Caenorhabditis elegans: one gene and its partners. The protein of the gene in region 1 interacts with the protein of each later gene in a pairwise test. Each region holds a gene or a part of one and is shown on either strand. Other genes may lie near its edges. The genes, in order: tbx-42, R148.5 and ima-2.

Region 1 (3,637 bases):
ATTTTCAGAAACTGTGAAACGTATAAATTAGGAAATATTTTTTCTCAGTTGAACAGTAAGCGCAAACAAGGCATTTTTTAAATAACGTGGCTAATATTTTTAAAAGATATAGTAAAAAAAGAAACACTGACCTAAACTTTTAGCCCAGAAAGTCAAACAAATCGTTATCAAATTGATATTAATCTGAAATAACTCAATACAAATTTGGTATACAATCAAAGCACAAGATTTTTCCTACTTTGTTTTTAAAAACAAAATGAAACATGTGAACATATATGATATTGAACTAATAATTTTCTTGAAGAAACTCAAAAAACCCTGAAAGGTTAAGCTTTTTTTTAACTCAATGTCGGTAAACTGGTTACATTAGGTTATTTTTTCCTCTCAAATTCAAAGAAGAAATTGCAAGTTTGAAAATGAAATGCTACTTTAAGTTTTAATTTCTAATATTTTCCACAAAAAATCCTCGGTCTTGTATTTTAATCTCCTGTTTTTATATTGACCCTTATTCATTTCCCATTGTCTGTCAATATAGTTGTCATTCCAATGATGACAATAGGTGCTTTCGGTAATAATAAGGAATTAATTTATATAAAAATTGGGTGGAATACATTTTGTCAGGATTTTCAGCCTCTGTGTATGTTAAAGATGTGAAATGGAATATTATATTGATCACGGAAGCAACAATAAATTATCCTCCTTTTAGTTATTTTTCATTTTTTAGGCTGAACTGATATTGTCATCATTGGAATGACAACTATATTGACAGACAATGGGAAATGAATAAGGGTCAATATAAAAACAGGAGATTAAAATACAAGACCGAGGATTTTTTGTGGAAAATATTAGAAATTAAAACTTAAAGTAGCATTTCATTTTCAAACTTGCAATTTCTTCTTTGAATTTGAGAGGAAAAAATAACCTAATGTAACCAGTTTACCGACATTGAGTTAAAAAAAAGCTTAACCTTTCAGGGTTTTTTGAGTTTCTTCAAGAAAATTATTAGTTCAATATCATATATGTTCACATGTTTCATTTTGTTTTTAAAAACAAAGTAGGAAAAATCTTGTGCTTTGATTGTATACCAAATTTGTATTGAGTTATTTCAGATTAATATCAATTTGATAACGATTTGTTTGACTTTCTGGGCTAAAAGTTTAGGTCAGTGTTTCTTTTTTTACTATATCTTTTAAAAATATTAGCCACGTTATTTAAAAAATGCCTTGTTTGCGCTTACTGTTCAACTGAGAAAAAATATTTCCTAATTTATACGTTTCACAGTTTCTGAAAATTCCAAAGAGCCCAAAATTAACACCAAACTAATTTGTTTTGACAATGAAACGTCTTCGTCTATAATTTGCAATGTATATGATGCCGAAGTTTTCATAAGAAAATACCAATTGGCTCATCCTATCCACTGCTTTAAATAAATGAATGAAACAGTACAATTTTAAAAAGATTCTATCAAACAATTTTGAAGTCAGTTCAATAAGACTTTCATTTTAACTCAATAAATACCCACTAATTTTGTAAAAAAAAACATATCACTCACATGCTAGTCGTCGTCTTGTTTCCTGTTCGAACTGTATTTTTATAAAAATATAAATGTATCGTATTTGGTATTGTACTAACCCAATTTTTTTCCGGTAAACCTTAATTTCGAAAAATTGTTTCAATTCTCAATCTCTTGTTACTATAACCTTTAATTTCTTATCGTTAATATATTTGTTATTTATTGACGTCTTTGAGAATATGTTAGCTCTCAGGAAATCGATAATTGGATGGACCCCGCCTCCGTGCTCAGACTCCGCCTGCTGTGTGTGCTCTGAAACAAGATGAGCATGGAGGCAGAAAATCATTCATTACAACATTCCGGTTAGAATACAGTTCATTTTTTTCTTTCTTTTTGCTTTTATATATATTTTTTAATTTTTCTATTCGTTTTTAATTTCAGATAAAGGTCTCTGCGATGAATCCATCAACTCAAATCGTTGTGAAAATGTCAAATGAAGAACTATGGAAAGAAAGATATCCAAATATGGAAATGATTTCAAACAGTAAAAGAATTACTCCAATTTTCCCTGAAATCAAATTCAAAATCTCTGGATTGGAAGAAAATTCAAGATATGTATTGGTACTGTCACTTGAAAAGATGGATAATATCAGGTAATTTTGATTATTTTACAAAAATTAAATAAATTCCTAATTATTTCAGATATGGAATAAATGAAAACAAAGAATGGGCTCCATCGTCTGCTCGTAAACCAAAACCACATCATAATATGAAGTTTTTCTTTCATCCAGAAGGAACAAAACTTGGAAAAGAATTGATGGCTGAAACAGTTGAATTCACTTCAGTGAGGATTACAACAAGTGAGAAATTATCAGAAAAGGAGAATGTGGTTAGTTTCTATTTTTATTGCTTTAATCAATTTATTGAAAAACTATTTATTTCAGTTCTATGTTCACACAATGCACAAGTACGTGCCTGTGCTTACAATCAGGAACCTAACAACCGGAGAAATTGCCTCAAATATCTTTAAAATGGAAATTGCTCAATTCTTCCCAGTTTCAATTTATCAGCAAGCTTCCATGGGAAGATGGAAGTCTGATTTGAACAAGCATTCAACTTTTGGAAATAGGTCAGAAGGTGGAATAAAAAGAAAAACTTCTGATGCAGCTGGACAACTACCATCAAAAAGGTCATCGAAGAAGCCTGTAAAGAAGGATGTTGTGGATAATTCTGAAGTTACTCTAGAAGTGAAAACGTCTCAATATCTTGTGAATCAAAACGAGAGTAATCTAACTGAGTATATTCCTTCTTCTCCACTCTATTCATCCCAAAACCAGTATCAATATCCGTTCCATCCATATTCTCCATTTGACTCATCTATCCCATATCCATACTCTCCAATGGATTACTCTTATTACTTCAATCCAACTTTCCAATCATTTTCCCCAGAAAATGTATATTTTGATGAAAATAGAAACCCCCATTAACTACTCGAATAGCCATTTCAAATAATTTACTCTTTTTTGTTCTTTTCATGATTGCTCCCCTTTGATAGTTAATTATTTATTCTTCCTGTGAATATCAATGATTCCCCATGTTTTCTATGTTTGATATCATTAAAATTTCTTTCTTTTGTCCTTTTATATTTGATTTTGTTGTCGATAAATTTAAATTTAACCTGTTTTGTGATTCATTTATTAATTTTCATTCCAATAAGATTTAAAAATTAATTATTATGTTCAGTTAAAAGCACGCTTCAAAAATAAAATCAGGCTGCGAAATTCTGCAGAAATTTTCTGAAAATGCTTTAAAAAAACCCAGAACATTTATCCAGAAATTTAAGCCCACTCAATTAACAAAATTGAACTACATAATTTGCATTTTTACAAGTAAAAGTGGAAGTAGCATCATCATAAGCATAAGAATATGCAGTTGGACAAGCATCTTTGAAAAGCATTGCAGTTCTGCTTTGTCTACATTTGTCAGGAGTTCCAAATGCTCCACGGCAGCATTCCTGATCGTTGTTGTAAGCAACACAACCAGATTTACAGCCAACGGTACGACCATCTGAAATTGAAACAGTTGGAGAAATTTTAGTTTTTAAAAATTTGTTCTGTTTCAATA
Region 2 (7,325 bases), on another chromosome or scaffold:
CGGTTTGAAGCTTGGCAGGGCTCCATAAAACGAGAAATTCGCTTCTTTTGACATTTTAATCGATTTTCTGCCGAAAAATCGGCGAAAATCTGTTGAAAATCAATTAAAATCGGTTTTAAATTCATAAATCGCGCTAGAAACGGATACGGTGGCGGATTTCGCGTCGAGACCCGCTGCAATATCTTTTCGAATGCGCCTTTGAATGGGTACGGTAGAACTAGTTTTGCAGCATTTTTGCGGATTGATCCGCGGATTTTGATGGATTTTTCAGATAACAAAGTGGTTTTTGTTGTGGGGAAACTGAGAAAAACAGAGAAACTAGTCTTGCAGTAAATATTCAGCAAAACTATAAAAAGCTCAAAATATGACGTAAATTGATATTTTACGCGAAATCCAGTGATCTTCCAATCAAAATACAACTCAAAAACGCAAGTTTTGATGGTTTTCATGTTTTTTGAAAAAATATAAATACGCAAGTTAAACTACCGCTCGATTCTCCCAAAAACTGCAAATTGCGTACAATACATCAAACCCGACGAAATTTTGCGTACTTTTTCGGAAAAATTTGAATTTTTATTAGATTTTTATTTTAAATATAAATATTCAAGGAATGCGGCTTATTATAAATATATGTCAAAATACTCACAGAAAAAGGCACAATAAAGGGGGCAGGGGCAGTTCTAGATTAAGAATTTTTCAAAAATTACAATAAAATTCAACAATTTCCTTTTGTTGTCAAGACCAGTAATTGGCGGTTTATTATAGAATTTTGTAGTGGATGGAAGAAAGAATAAATGGGTTTTCAGGGGAAAAAATCGATAAAATATTCATTAATTAGTGGGCTGGGCAGCGCGTCGGCTATTTTCCTTTAGCTTCATCTTCTCAAAGGCTTCATAGTCAACTGGTGGAGAGTCGGGGCGGGTTATCTGCAAAAAAAAATCAATAATTTTTGAGAAAATCGATAAATTCCCAGAAAGTCGATATTGTACCAAAAAAAGACCAAAAAATCGATAATTTTTCGGAAAATCGATAAATTTCTAGAATACACTTTCTAAGAAAAATCGATAAATTCTCAGCAAGTCGATATTACCCCAAAAATCGATTAATTTACCAAAAAATCGGTAATTTCCTAGAAAATCGAATAATTCCTTGAAAATCGATGATTTAAAAAATCGATAATTCACTAGAAAATCAATAAAAAACCAATTACCTCCGTCTCGACCGTTTGCGATGCAACTTCGGCGTGCTCCGATCGATTCAGCGTAGCGTTACTTGTCTCCTTGGCGGCCATTGATCTGGAATTTGAAGTTATCAATCACTATCGATGCACCATGTTGAAAAATTGAGCTTCAAAAACTTATATCTCATTTGGCTCATTTGAATTTTACCAAAACTTGCTTCACTACAAAAATATAGGAAAATTAATAGCAAACATTTTGTTAGTTGGTAATTTTTTTAATAAAACCGAAAGCAACCAATATATAAGTGGTAAAAAAGTATTTGCTCGATGCACCATGTTTAAAACTTGCTCATATCTCGGCTGATTCTTGAGCTATCAAAATTTGATCAACTACAAAATTATAGAAAAATTCATAACAAACACTTTGTTAGTTGGCAATTTTTTGATAAAACCAACCGGAACAGCGATATGAGCTGAGAAAGTGTATTGCTAGTTGATGTACAAAGCACCATGCACAAAGTCAATTTTAATGCTCTTATCTCTGTGAATTTCCGTTCAATCTTAACTTTTCTTACCTCAAAGTTCCCGAAAAAGCTTTCTCATTGATATGTGGTTTTCTATAGATCCCAGCTTCATATTGATCCCAGGCGCTATCGGCTCTCGTGGAAGCCATCGACGCCGATTCCCCCTTCTTCAGTGTTCCTCGCTTCTTGAATGTATCATAATATGTCTCATAACCATCTCCACCATAATTAGCCGGTTGATAGCTAGCCTCCGGGAATCCTCCAGTTGCTCCAACATAAGCTGGCTCTTCATAAGCTCCTCGACGCATTGTCCCATAAACCGACTCTGGCCCAGTAATAATTGGTCCACCATCAGTCGGTGGGCTACTAGGCCTCATGAAATGTGGTGGTGGTGGAGGAAAGAACGGCGGGTATGGTCCACCTCGGAACATCATTGGATGCGGGGGCGGCATAAATCCACGTGGTGGTCCCATACCGAAATGTGGTGGTGGAGGCATAAATGGTGGGGGCATACCTCGACCCATAAAATGTGGTGGAGGAGGTGGAAAGTGTCCACGTGGCGGTGGAGGGAAGAAGCCGAATGGCGGAGGCATCATTGCATAGGGATGGTGCATCGGATGAGGAGGTCCGTATGGATGATGTGGTGGGGGTCCACGATAGGAGAGATCATTGTCGGAGCCAGCGCGGCGGAGGGGCTCGTCGAACGGGACAAGGGCTCCGCGGATGCCGCCTGAAAATTAGAATATTAGAGAATAAAAAAAATAGAGAATCAAAAAATGGTCAACTGACAAAATCTTTATGGTTTTTTTTTAAATAACCGGAAATTTGAGCAATCAAAGGTAGGCAACGTTTTTAACATGGTGCCTCAGGTTAGCTCAACTTTGACTGCTCACAACTCGGTAGTCGTTTGTTGTATCCAAAAATTGCCAACTGACAAAATGTTTAATATTGGTTTTTCTAAAATTTTGCGGTTGAAAAAAACTGAATAGCTTAAAAATCACCGGAGATATGAGTGATCAAAACCTGGCACCGTTTTGTACATGGTGCATCAATTTTCCCTTCATTTAACAGCTTATAACTCGGTTGTCGTTTCTTTTATCAAAATTTAGTCAACTGACAAAATGTTTATCATTATTTTTTCTATACCTATAGTTTTGCAAACAATAACTCAATTAAAATGAACGGAGATATAAGCTCTCAAAGCTTGGCGCGATTTTTCTTATGGTGCATCGTAACAGTTGTCTTTGGCTGATTTGGCTGAACTCGGTTGTCGTTTATTTTATCAAAAAATTGTCAACTGAGTAAATGTTTATTATAAATTTCTCTATAATAATGCACTGAAAAAGAATTTAATAACTTCAAAATGAACTGAGATATGATCAGTTACAGCTAGGTCTGCTCATTGTGCATCGAGCTAGCTGATCTTTGACAGCTTATAACTCGATTGTCTTTAGTTTTACTAGAAAATTGACAACTGACAAATTTTTTAGCACTGCCTCACAAATGTTACTTATTTTAGCAAACACCAATATCTTAAAAACGAACAGAGATATTTTCAATATACTAAGTCACCTACCCTGCTCACTAGCAGCTTTCTTATTCTTATTCACCAAACTGCTGCTAATCGACACACTATCATATTCTCCGTCCTGCTGCCGTCTTTCTTGCCAATTTTTCATATTCTTCTCCTCCGGGACTACATCTTCCTCAAATGAGTTTTCCTCAATCTCACTGGACGGGGAGTTTGGTGATCGGTCACCAGTTGATCCTTCCTTGATTGCTTTTAGACCTGGAATTTTTTTTTGAAATTTATCTTTTTCAATTTTATGATGAATAGACATTTTTCTAATATTTCGAAATATACATGTTTTTTCTAAACAAACCAATATATGAGCTGCCAAGGGAACATTTTGAACATGGTGCATCAACCAGAAATACTAAACTCAACTTTTACCGCTTATATCTTGGTTGTCTTTGGTTTTATTTAAAAAAGTGACAACAGACAAAATATTGAAAAATGTATTTCTACATTGTTGTGAAAAAAATTGAGAAAAGGGTCAAAATGAAAGGAGATATGAGCCGCCAAAGTCCAGTACTTTTACAAGCTAGTATCTCGATTCTCATTGATTTTAGAGAAAAGTTATAAACTGACAAAATGCTTGTTATATCTTTTTCTATAATTGTGATGTTATAAACTATTTGATAACTTAAGAATAAGCCGAGTTATAAACGTTAAAAGGCATCATTCAAAAATGGTGCATCGACCAAAAATACTGCGCTCAACTTTGAGCGCTTGTATCTCAATTTTCAGTTGACATAGAAAAAAGTTATAAGCTGACAAAATATTTTTCATATTCTGCTCTATAATGTGTGTAGTTATAAATTATTTAATAACTCAAACAAGAATTAAGATATAAGCAATCAAAGTCATCATTCAAACATGGTGTATCGACCAGAAAAACTTCATTCAACTTTGAACGCTTGTATCTCGATTCTCATTGGTTTGAGGAAAAATTATAAACTGACAAAATATTATTTATATTCGGCTCTATAATTTTGTAGTTATAAATTCCTTGATATCTAAAAAATGAACCAAGATATATAGCAATCAAAGTGATAAGTCAAACATGGTGCATCGACCAGAACCACCGCACTCCACTTTAACCACTTATATCTTGGATATATTTGATTTTATAAAAAAGTGTTCACTAAGAAAGTATTTGTCATAAAATTTTCTATATTCTGGTTACAAACAGCCTCACCTGGAATCCTCTCGTCCATTCTCAAATGCATAGTTTCTGTGTAGGCATGCACCATACACCTGACCAATGCATTTGCTGCCTTCACATTTGTACAAATAAATCCATGACATTCGAGAACCTTAACCCCAGTGGTTCTTCTGAAGATTGCCGCGAAAATTGGCGGATGTGGGGAATTTGGGATATTCGCGAATGGGCTGTCGAGTGGCATAAACTGTTCTCCACCACCGCCAACTTTGAAGCCTTCCACATTTACGTAACGAACGGCGGCACAATAATGGAGAGTTATAATTGGGAAAAAGACGGTTTCAGTCTTCTTTTCGCCTTCGATGTACTCCAAAAGGACTCCGTTCGACCACACTGATAGCCTGGATATTAAGATTTTTAAGTTATTGATAACATTTTTGAATTCAGCTTAAAAATAGCTTTTAATTAAGCCCCATCATGACTATATTCCGACTATTTTGAATTTTGACACATCCATGCGCCAAAAAAAAAAATCAACTTTTCGTGGTGGGTCCAACATTTGTAAATTAATCGGAGTTTAGCCAAAATATGACGACTAGTTAAATAATGAGAATTCAGAAAAATAGAGCACAGTAACCCAAACATTTTCGTTTTCGTGGCGGGACCCAAATTTTGAAATGAACGGGATTTAGCCAATATGGGTTTTATTTGAAAGCTCAAAGCGTGTTAAATGTGAATTTGAAAATTGTTTTTTTATAACTCGCGTCTTCGAATTTTTTGGAAATTAAAAAAAAAATTTTTTTCAAAAAGCAATAACTCAACTAATTTTCAATATTTTTTTGAATTCTTACCACAAAATTAAGCTGAATTTTCAATTTTTAAATAAAAAATATTTAACTCTTACCATGAGTCAATTCCACGTGTATCTGGCGATTCTTGAATCGGGTATCTCTCCTTCAGTGGCTGCTGGATGCCTTGTAGGCCGTCTTTTGTGATTGTAGGCACCGAACTGCCGATGTATAACACTCGGCATCTGCACAATGGCAAAGGCATCTGGAATGTATTGGAATTTTTGGGAAAAAGTAGCGTAAAATAAAAGAGAAATGTGCGGGCAGAAAAAAATTTAAAAAATTTCTTAAATAAAAATAATTTTTTCAAATTTTTGCAGTTTTTATTTGACCAATCGATAGAAAATTTTACGCTGATCATTTTTGTCTCTTGCAACTTTTTTCTATCTCTAACCATTGCAGAGATATTTGCACTTAAAGTTAGGAGGAAGAGAGAATGTGGGGGAGGGGGAGACGCAGACGCTCTGCCTTTCTGCGTCTCGCCTCCCCCCGCGATCACTCGCCGCGAGAAGGCGCGCTAACTTTAAGCGGCTATAACTCTGCAGTAGTATGAGCTAATAAAAAAGTTTTAACAGGTAAAATGTGCAGAATTTTTGGAGAATATTTTTGCAGTGAAAACTTTTTTGAAATACCAATTGGAAAAAAGTTAAGAGGAGCCTAAAAAGGAGCCTACAAAAAACAAGAGGAAAACGTTAAAATTGGTAGAAAACACATAAAATGGAAGAAAAAAACAACCTTTCACCATAGAGAGTAAAAAAACAGTTCCAAGTAGAAGCTTCTCCCTTTCTCCAAGAAAAAAAACTAGTAATGGATACTGGTTATTAGCAGTAAGTAATAGTGTCTAAAGGAACAATATATATATGTGGATTGACATAAACACATTCCTTCCCTCCACAAGAGATCAAGGATGACGATACGGATGGAAGAAGACGTGCGGGAAGAAGACGAAGGGGGCATTGTAATGAGGAGTGTCCTTCGGTGAGGGGGAAAGAAAAAAGATTATCAGTGAGATATCTTGGAACTGATAAACACTTCCCGACAGGAGGTCATCACGGATTAGGCCGACTACTTTGTGGTACATTTATAATTGGGTTAAATTATGTTTTCCACTAAATATTATAATGCCCCATAAAATTTTATACAATTTTGTAATTGGAACTTTTTAAAAATGTTCACTTGTTGCAGAGTTATGGAGGTTTCAAGCTAAACCTCCGAAAATATTGTGGGAGGGGGAGAGACGCAGAGAAGTTGGAGGCTCTGCGTCTCCCCTCTCCCACATTCTCTCTTCCTCCAATCATTAAACGCGATTATCTCTGTAATGGATAGAGATCGAAAAAAGTTGCAAGAGACAAAAATGATCGGCGTAAAATTTCCTATATAACTTGTCGTAAATATCAAGAAATTTTGGGAGGACTATATTTTTTTATATTTTTCGCTGAAATTAGTAATCTCTATTTTTCGGACAGCAAAATAATCTAAACAAAATTCCTTACATTTTACCAGTTGGCACTTTTCAGAAAACTCTACCCACTGCAAAGTTACACCCGTTTAAAGTTAGCTACATGGAGAGAGCAGAGGGGGAGGCGAGACGCAGAGAAGTAGGAGGCTCTGCGTCTCCCCCTCCCACGATATCTCTTCTTCAAACTTTAAAGGCGATTATCTCTGTAACGGGTGGAGATACAAAAAAGTTACAGTATCCAAAAATTATCAGCGTAAAATTTTCTATCAAATGAAAAATAGAGAAATGTGATAATAAAAATAAACATTTTGAGGTTTTTCAAAATTTTGAAAAAAAAAACTTGATTTAACCAACAAAAACGATTTCCAAATCGTTCACCAAAAGTACAGTGGAAATAAGAAAAGGCTGTAAGCGGATTTACAAGCGGCTTCACCGACTAAAACTTAAACGCCCGGCAACTTTTTTCCCCTCCCTCATAAATCCGTTGACTACCGAATGCGGGAAGAAAACGATGGTAAAAGTGAAAAGAACAACTGCTGGGAAAGGTAGTAATGGGATGGTGTACATGGGGTGTAAACATTCTGGGAA
Region 3 (4,514 bases), on another chromosome or scaffold:
TACCTTCGGACTGTCTGTTCCATTAATAGCGGCTCCCACTTTGATCATCATTTTGAGTTTGGATGTACTGCAATTAATGTGTGATTTAACGAATTATATTGAATTTTAATTATTGGAAAAAGCTGAGAAATTTGAAGTAACCGAGAAATAGCTGTGAAGAAGTTTAAAAAACTTTTTTAGGACTATGAGCCGGATCTTGTCAAGTTTTGTTATCCTAACCAAACATTATTGTGACAAATGCTTCAAGTGGAAATTATTTTTCAAATTTCGTGATAAAATCATTAAAATTAACGACAAAAGGCATCATTTCAGTTCAGCCGGAAGAAAAGAAAAAACAAGGGATATTGAGTCCAGATTAAAGGCGCAGACAATTTTCAGATGGGTCCCGCGACGAACACATAGACAAAAACGCGGATGTTCAAATTAGCGAGTGAACAGTTCAACAAAGAAACATGAATGCGTATTGAAAAATACGCGCATCGTTTTCCCGGTTATAAAAATCATATGTTCCACTTTCTTTTCATTCTAAACAAATTGTCAATTTAAAGTGAAGAGATCAGTTAAAACGGGGTCAAATATAAATACGGGTAATACACACAGATGAGGGTAATTCTAAAAAAAACAATCCAATGTTAAATGTGAGAAAGAAGAATGTTACTATGAAATGACTACTAGAATGATGATAAGTGTGAAATAATTTAGAAACTCCATTTGTTATCTTGTGGATCGGCATTCTCATGAGACTCCTTCTCTCCAGCATCATCGTCGGTGAAGAATTGAGTGATGATGCGGTAAGCCTGAGTATAGATCTGCTCCGATTGACTTTCCTGGAGGCGCTCCAAACTGTCAAGTCCACCATTCTCTTCGACTTGGTCGTGAAGAATGTCCACTTTGTGAGGGTAACTGGAATCACATTTTTGAGAGTGCTAATTATCTAATAAAAACATACCCATTCTGAACAGTGAGCATAAGAGTATACAGAGTCTCCAAAGTATTATTCAGCATATCAGTGTTAGTTTGAAGAAGGGCTTGGCACAAAGCAGGCACTACATTGTCTTCAAGCATGGCGACAACTTGACGATTTGTTCCCCCTTGAGCCAAATTAGAAAGAGCCCAAGAAGCCTCGAACTGGCACTTGTGATCTCCCGACTTCAGAACATTGATGAGAACTGGGAGAAGATTTGCGTCGAGGACAGCTTGAATCTGCTTCTGAGTTCCAGCAATAATGTTGGACACCAACCAGCAGCACTCCTTCACAATGCTTGATGATCGCGTCTTTTCCATCAATGGAAGAATTTCATCGAGTGATCCCAAGTCGATAACCGCCTGTGTCAGCGAGTCATTTCCAGTTGCAACATTACCAAGAGTTCGGAGAGCCGGAGCAACAAGGTTTTCAGCTTCTTTGAAGAAAGCGACGACGTGAGGAAGCACACCACTTTCTCGTGCCAATTCGATTTGCTCATCTGGTCCATCAGTCAAATAAGAAACAGCCCAGCATGCGTCTTGACGGACTTGACGGTCCGTGTGCTAAAGTGAAGACGTTAATTGCGATCGAACATTTTGACAATTACCTGAACAAGTTTGACAAGACCTTTCGACAGAACACGAAGAACTTCTAATGGGGCATGTGGATTCTTATGACGGCACATGTTGGAGAATGCCCATGCAATGGTACGAACATGCGAATCTCCCAGTTGATCGACTTTCTCCATCAAATGCATCAACGCCTCCACTCCATGGCATTTAATAACATAATCACGAAGTTGAGATGAGTCTCCAGCAATGTTAGCGACTGCCCACAAAGCTTGCTCCGAGATCTGCGCACTCTGATGAACTGAAAGATGGATCAGTGGAATTGTTACTCCGGCTTCAACAGCTGCAATTGTTTGCTCGGTGGAACCGGAAACGATATTGGTAAGAGCCCAAGCTGCTTCATATTGAACACGCTCGTTCTGAAAATTGGAAATTATTGAATGGAAATAAAGATCGACCTACCTCAACGCTCAATGCCTGAACCAAAGCCTGAAGCAAACCGCAGTGAATGACTTCATCAATAGGTGGATTCTTCGTCTTTGATAGTGATTTTCTCAACGACTCGAAGCATCGAACCATATCATCTTCCGATGGATTGTTGGAGAGAATAGCTCTAATCTCATCATTTGACAAACGGGTTGATGATTGCTGATGAGATATCTTCTCTGGCTCCTCGAGCTCCGATTCCGAATTGCCACCTTCATCGACGTCGACGATGTTACGGCGTTTCATCATCATGTCCGCTCCTTTTTGCTTTCGAATTTCAACACTGCATTCAGTACGACGACGACGGAGCTCCTGAACAGAACAAATAAATAAATCTCGCAATTACTTTAAATAAGTCGGATAGTAACATTTTTGCATGAAATCTGTTATCAATAATTTAACATACTTCATGCTTGGTGAGATTCTTGTACTGTTGAAGGCGGCCTCCCTCATCCTTTCCCTCTTCGGCATTGTGAGACAGGCTGGTTTCGGTGAGAGTCATAGTTAAGCTTCAATCTGGAAGAACTTATGTGAATATTAAACAAAAATAACACTATTAGAAAAAAGTAGGAGTTTCTGATTCGAAAAAGTTCGGAATAAATCACCTCCATACTTTTTAATAATAAATTTCGCAACGAGATAAATGGGAACTAGTTAAACAGAACTAAAATTTCATGAGAATATTACAAATTCAGTTGAAAAGAATGAGTGGTGAAACTATTTAAGAAAGAAAAGGAGGAAACATTGGGCGATGAAAGCAGAAATGAGCGCCGCGGCCCAAAATTGTTATCAAAAAGTGTAACCTTCGCGCCGAAATTCGAAATGTTGAAGCGAATAAGGCGCCAATAAAGAGCGTTGGCGCCAAACTGATTTTTGGCGGTAACTTAAAATCGAATTGTTTGCTTTTAAAAAATCGCATTAATGCGTATTCATGGAATGTTTTTGAGGAAAAGATTTATACTTCCGAAAATATATAGATTTTCTAGCCCTACAAAAATGAAAAATGCAGAAAACACAAACTCCAATATAAATACCACGATATATCTAACCTTAATTGTACAGTAATCTACCGTAGTTCTAAAAACGGTGCAGCATGCATTTCAACATGATTGAATAAAACATACTGTTGAATAAACAATACTTTATTCGAAAAAGTTCAACGAGCAATCACCATTCCGGAAGTTCTAGTTAACATTTTTGACAGTGTCTGATTTTTTCGTTTACTTTTAAAAATGTGAGTTCGAAGATTTCTGCTAACACATATCATTACAATTGGAGAACCAACAGTTAAAAAGTCTAGAGCTAAAAAGCTAAATCCATAAACGGGGCTTGATGCATCAGTGTATGAGAAGAAAAAGCTGTAGTATATCTGAATGTTCTAGATATTTTTTAAAATTCAGAAGTTAATAACCTGAAATAAAACTTTAAAAGTGAACCCAATGGATATGATAACCGTTGCATTAGAGATTGCTTTTTCTATTTCTTTTGATCTTTCTGGAAGTTTTAACAAAGTAATTGCAGTGCATATAAATGTAAATGATAATGCAATAATAATAAAAACAAGTTGAAAACGAGATTGGCTTGCCTGAAACAATAAATATTAAATATAATGTACATATTTAATGTGCTCCCAGCCTCAGTTCTTGTCACGAACAAGTGTGTTGGGTTACTGTACCCGCTTATCTTCTCGTTTTCCCAGAACTTTTCAATATTTCAGAATTAAAAAACGCATAATTCTAGAAATATGATCAACACAAAAAGAGAGAATGACAAATAGAAAGATTGATGATCTATCATTGTTGCGGGTACGGTAGCTGAAAAATTTTACTCGTCTCGGGATCCGAGACTGTTGAACAAAAAGTTCAGTCGAAAGTGTAGTTTTTCGCATGTGAGGTAATATGTCTAATTTGGTATAATCTGGAATCCTTAAAGTCACACTCATTTATTTTGTAAGGGTCTCTCCAGTTCATCTTTTATTTTTCTGTATGTGGTTCATTAAAACAGTTTCTTCAGTTTCTTTTAGTTTTAAAACAAAAAAGAAATGGAAACAGATGAACTTACCCAGCTAACTTTCTTGAAATAGCTAACCCAGAAACCTCCATACGTGGATTGCATGTAAACTCGAGATATAGCAATATTCCAGTCAGCACAAAATGGAATTAAAAAAACTGCACTAATCACATATTTCAAGCTTTTTCTCCATATTGAATCGTGCGTTATTGGAAACAGGACACACGTCATTCGATTTAAAACTAACAAAACTTGTAAAAGGGATTTACAAATTGATACATGATGAGTTAATAACATTATAATCTTAAACCCAACAAGCGGAGATTGAAAGTAATCAGCGAGAACAGGGCATATTGGTGTAAAGTAAATAAAGAAACGAGCAAATAAACCTTCTGTTATAAGAATTGATATGTTCTGAAGAAAGTACGGTGCCCATTTGAAACCTAATGAAACAACAGATTCAAACAGAAAGGTCTTACAGCGAA

The links.
Region 2: the proteins of tbx-42 (region 1) and R148.5 interact in a two-hybrid assay, tested with the Caenorhabditis elegans proteins (one large-scale study listed by BioGRID).
Region 3: the proteins of tbx-42 (region 1) and ima-2 interact in a two-hybrid assay, tested with the Caenorhabditis elegans proteins (one large-scale study listed by BioGRID).

The regions. Positions count from the first base shown.
Region 1 is NC_003282.8:5,232,208-5,235,844, reverse strand, and holds tbx-42 (Putative T-box protein 30/42), read left to right. Parts: upstream 1-1,969; coding exon 1,970-2,166; intron 2,167-2,215; coding exon 2,216-2,402; intron 2,403-2,457; coding exon 2,458-3,000; downstream 3,001-3,637. Other genes in the region: thn-5 (Pathogenesis-related protein 5-like), read right to left, coding at 3,366-3,580. UniProt on the Caenorhabditis elegans protein: Involved in the regulatory network to control embryonic patterning and morphogenesis. Implicated in negatively regulating vab-7 expression at the anterior of embryos.
Region 2 is NC_003281.10:3,164,443-3,171,767, reverse strand, and holds R148.5 (PID domain-containing protein), read right to left. Parts: upstream 5,484-7,325; coding exon 5,335-5,483; intron 4,832-5,334; coding exon 4,467-4,831; intron 3,494-4,466; coding exon 3,281-3,493; intron 2,435-3,280; coding exon 1,756-2,434; intron 1,296-1,755; coding exon 1,211-1,295; coding exon of another isoform or gene 1,184-1,210; intron 927-1,183; coding exon 831-926; 3' UTR 572-830; downstream 1-571. Other genes in the region: R148.4 (MARVEL domain-containing protein), read right to left, coding at 1-54.
Region 3 is NC_003279.8:6,313,254-6,317,767, reverse strand, and holds ima-2 (Importin subunit alpha-2), read right to left. Parts: upstream 2,536-4,514; 5' UTR 2,522-2,535; coding exon 2,426-2,521; intron 2,332-2,425; coding exon 1,996-2,331; intron 1,953-1,995; coding exon 1,572-1,952; intron 1,528-1,571; coding exon 950-1,527; intron 904-949; coding exon 699-903; 3' UTR 501-698; downstream 1-500. Other genes in the region: hrpk-1 (Heterogeneous nuclear ribonucleoprotein K homolog), read right to left, coding at 4-51; srg-14 (Serpentine receptor class gamma-14), read right to left, coding at 3,176-3,388, 3,431-3,604, 4,081-4,443. UniProt on the Caenorhabditis elegans protein: Nuclear transport receptor that mediates nuclear import of proteins, and which is involved in sister chromatid cohesion. Binds specifically and directly to substrates containing either a simple or bipartite nuclear localization signals (NLS) motif.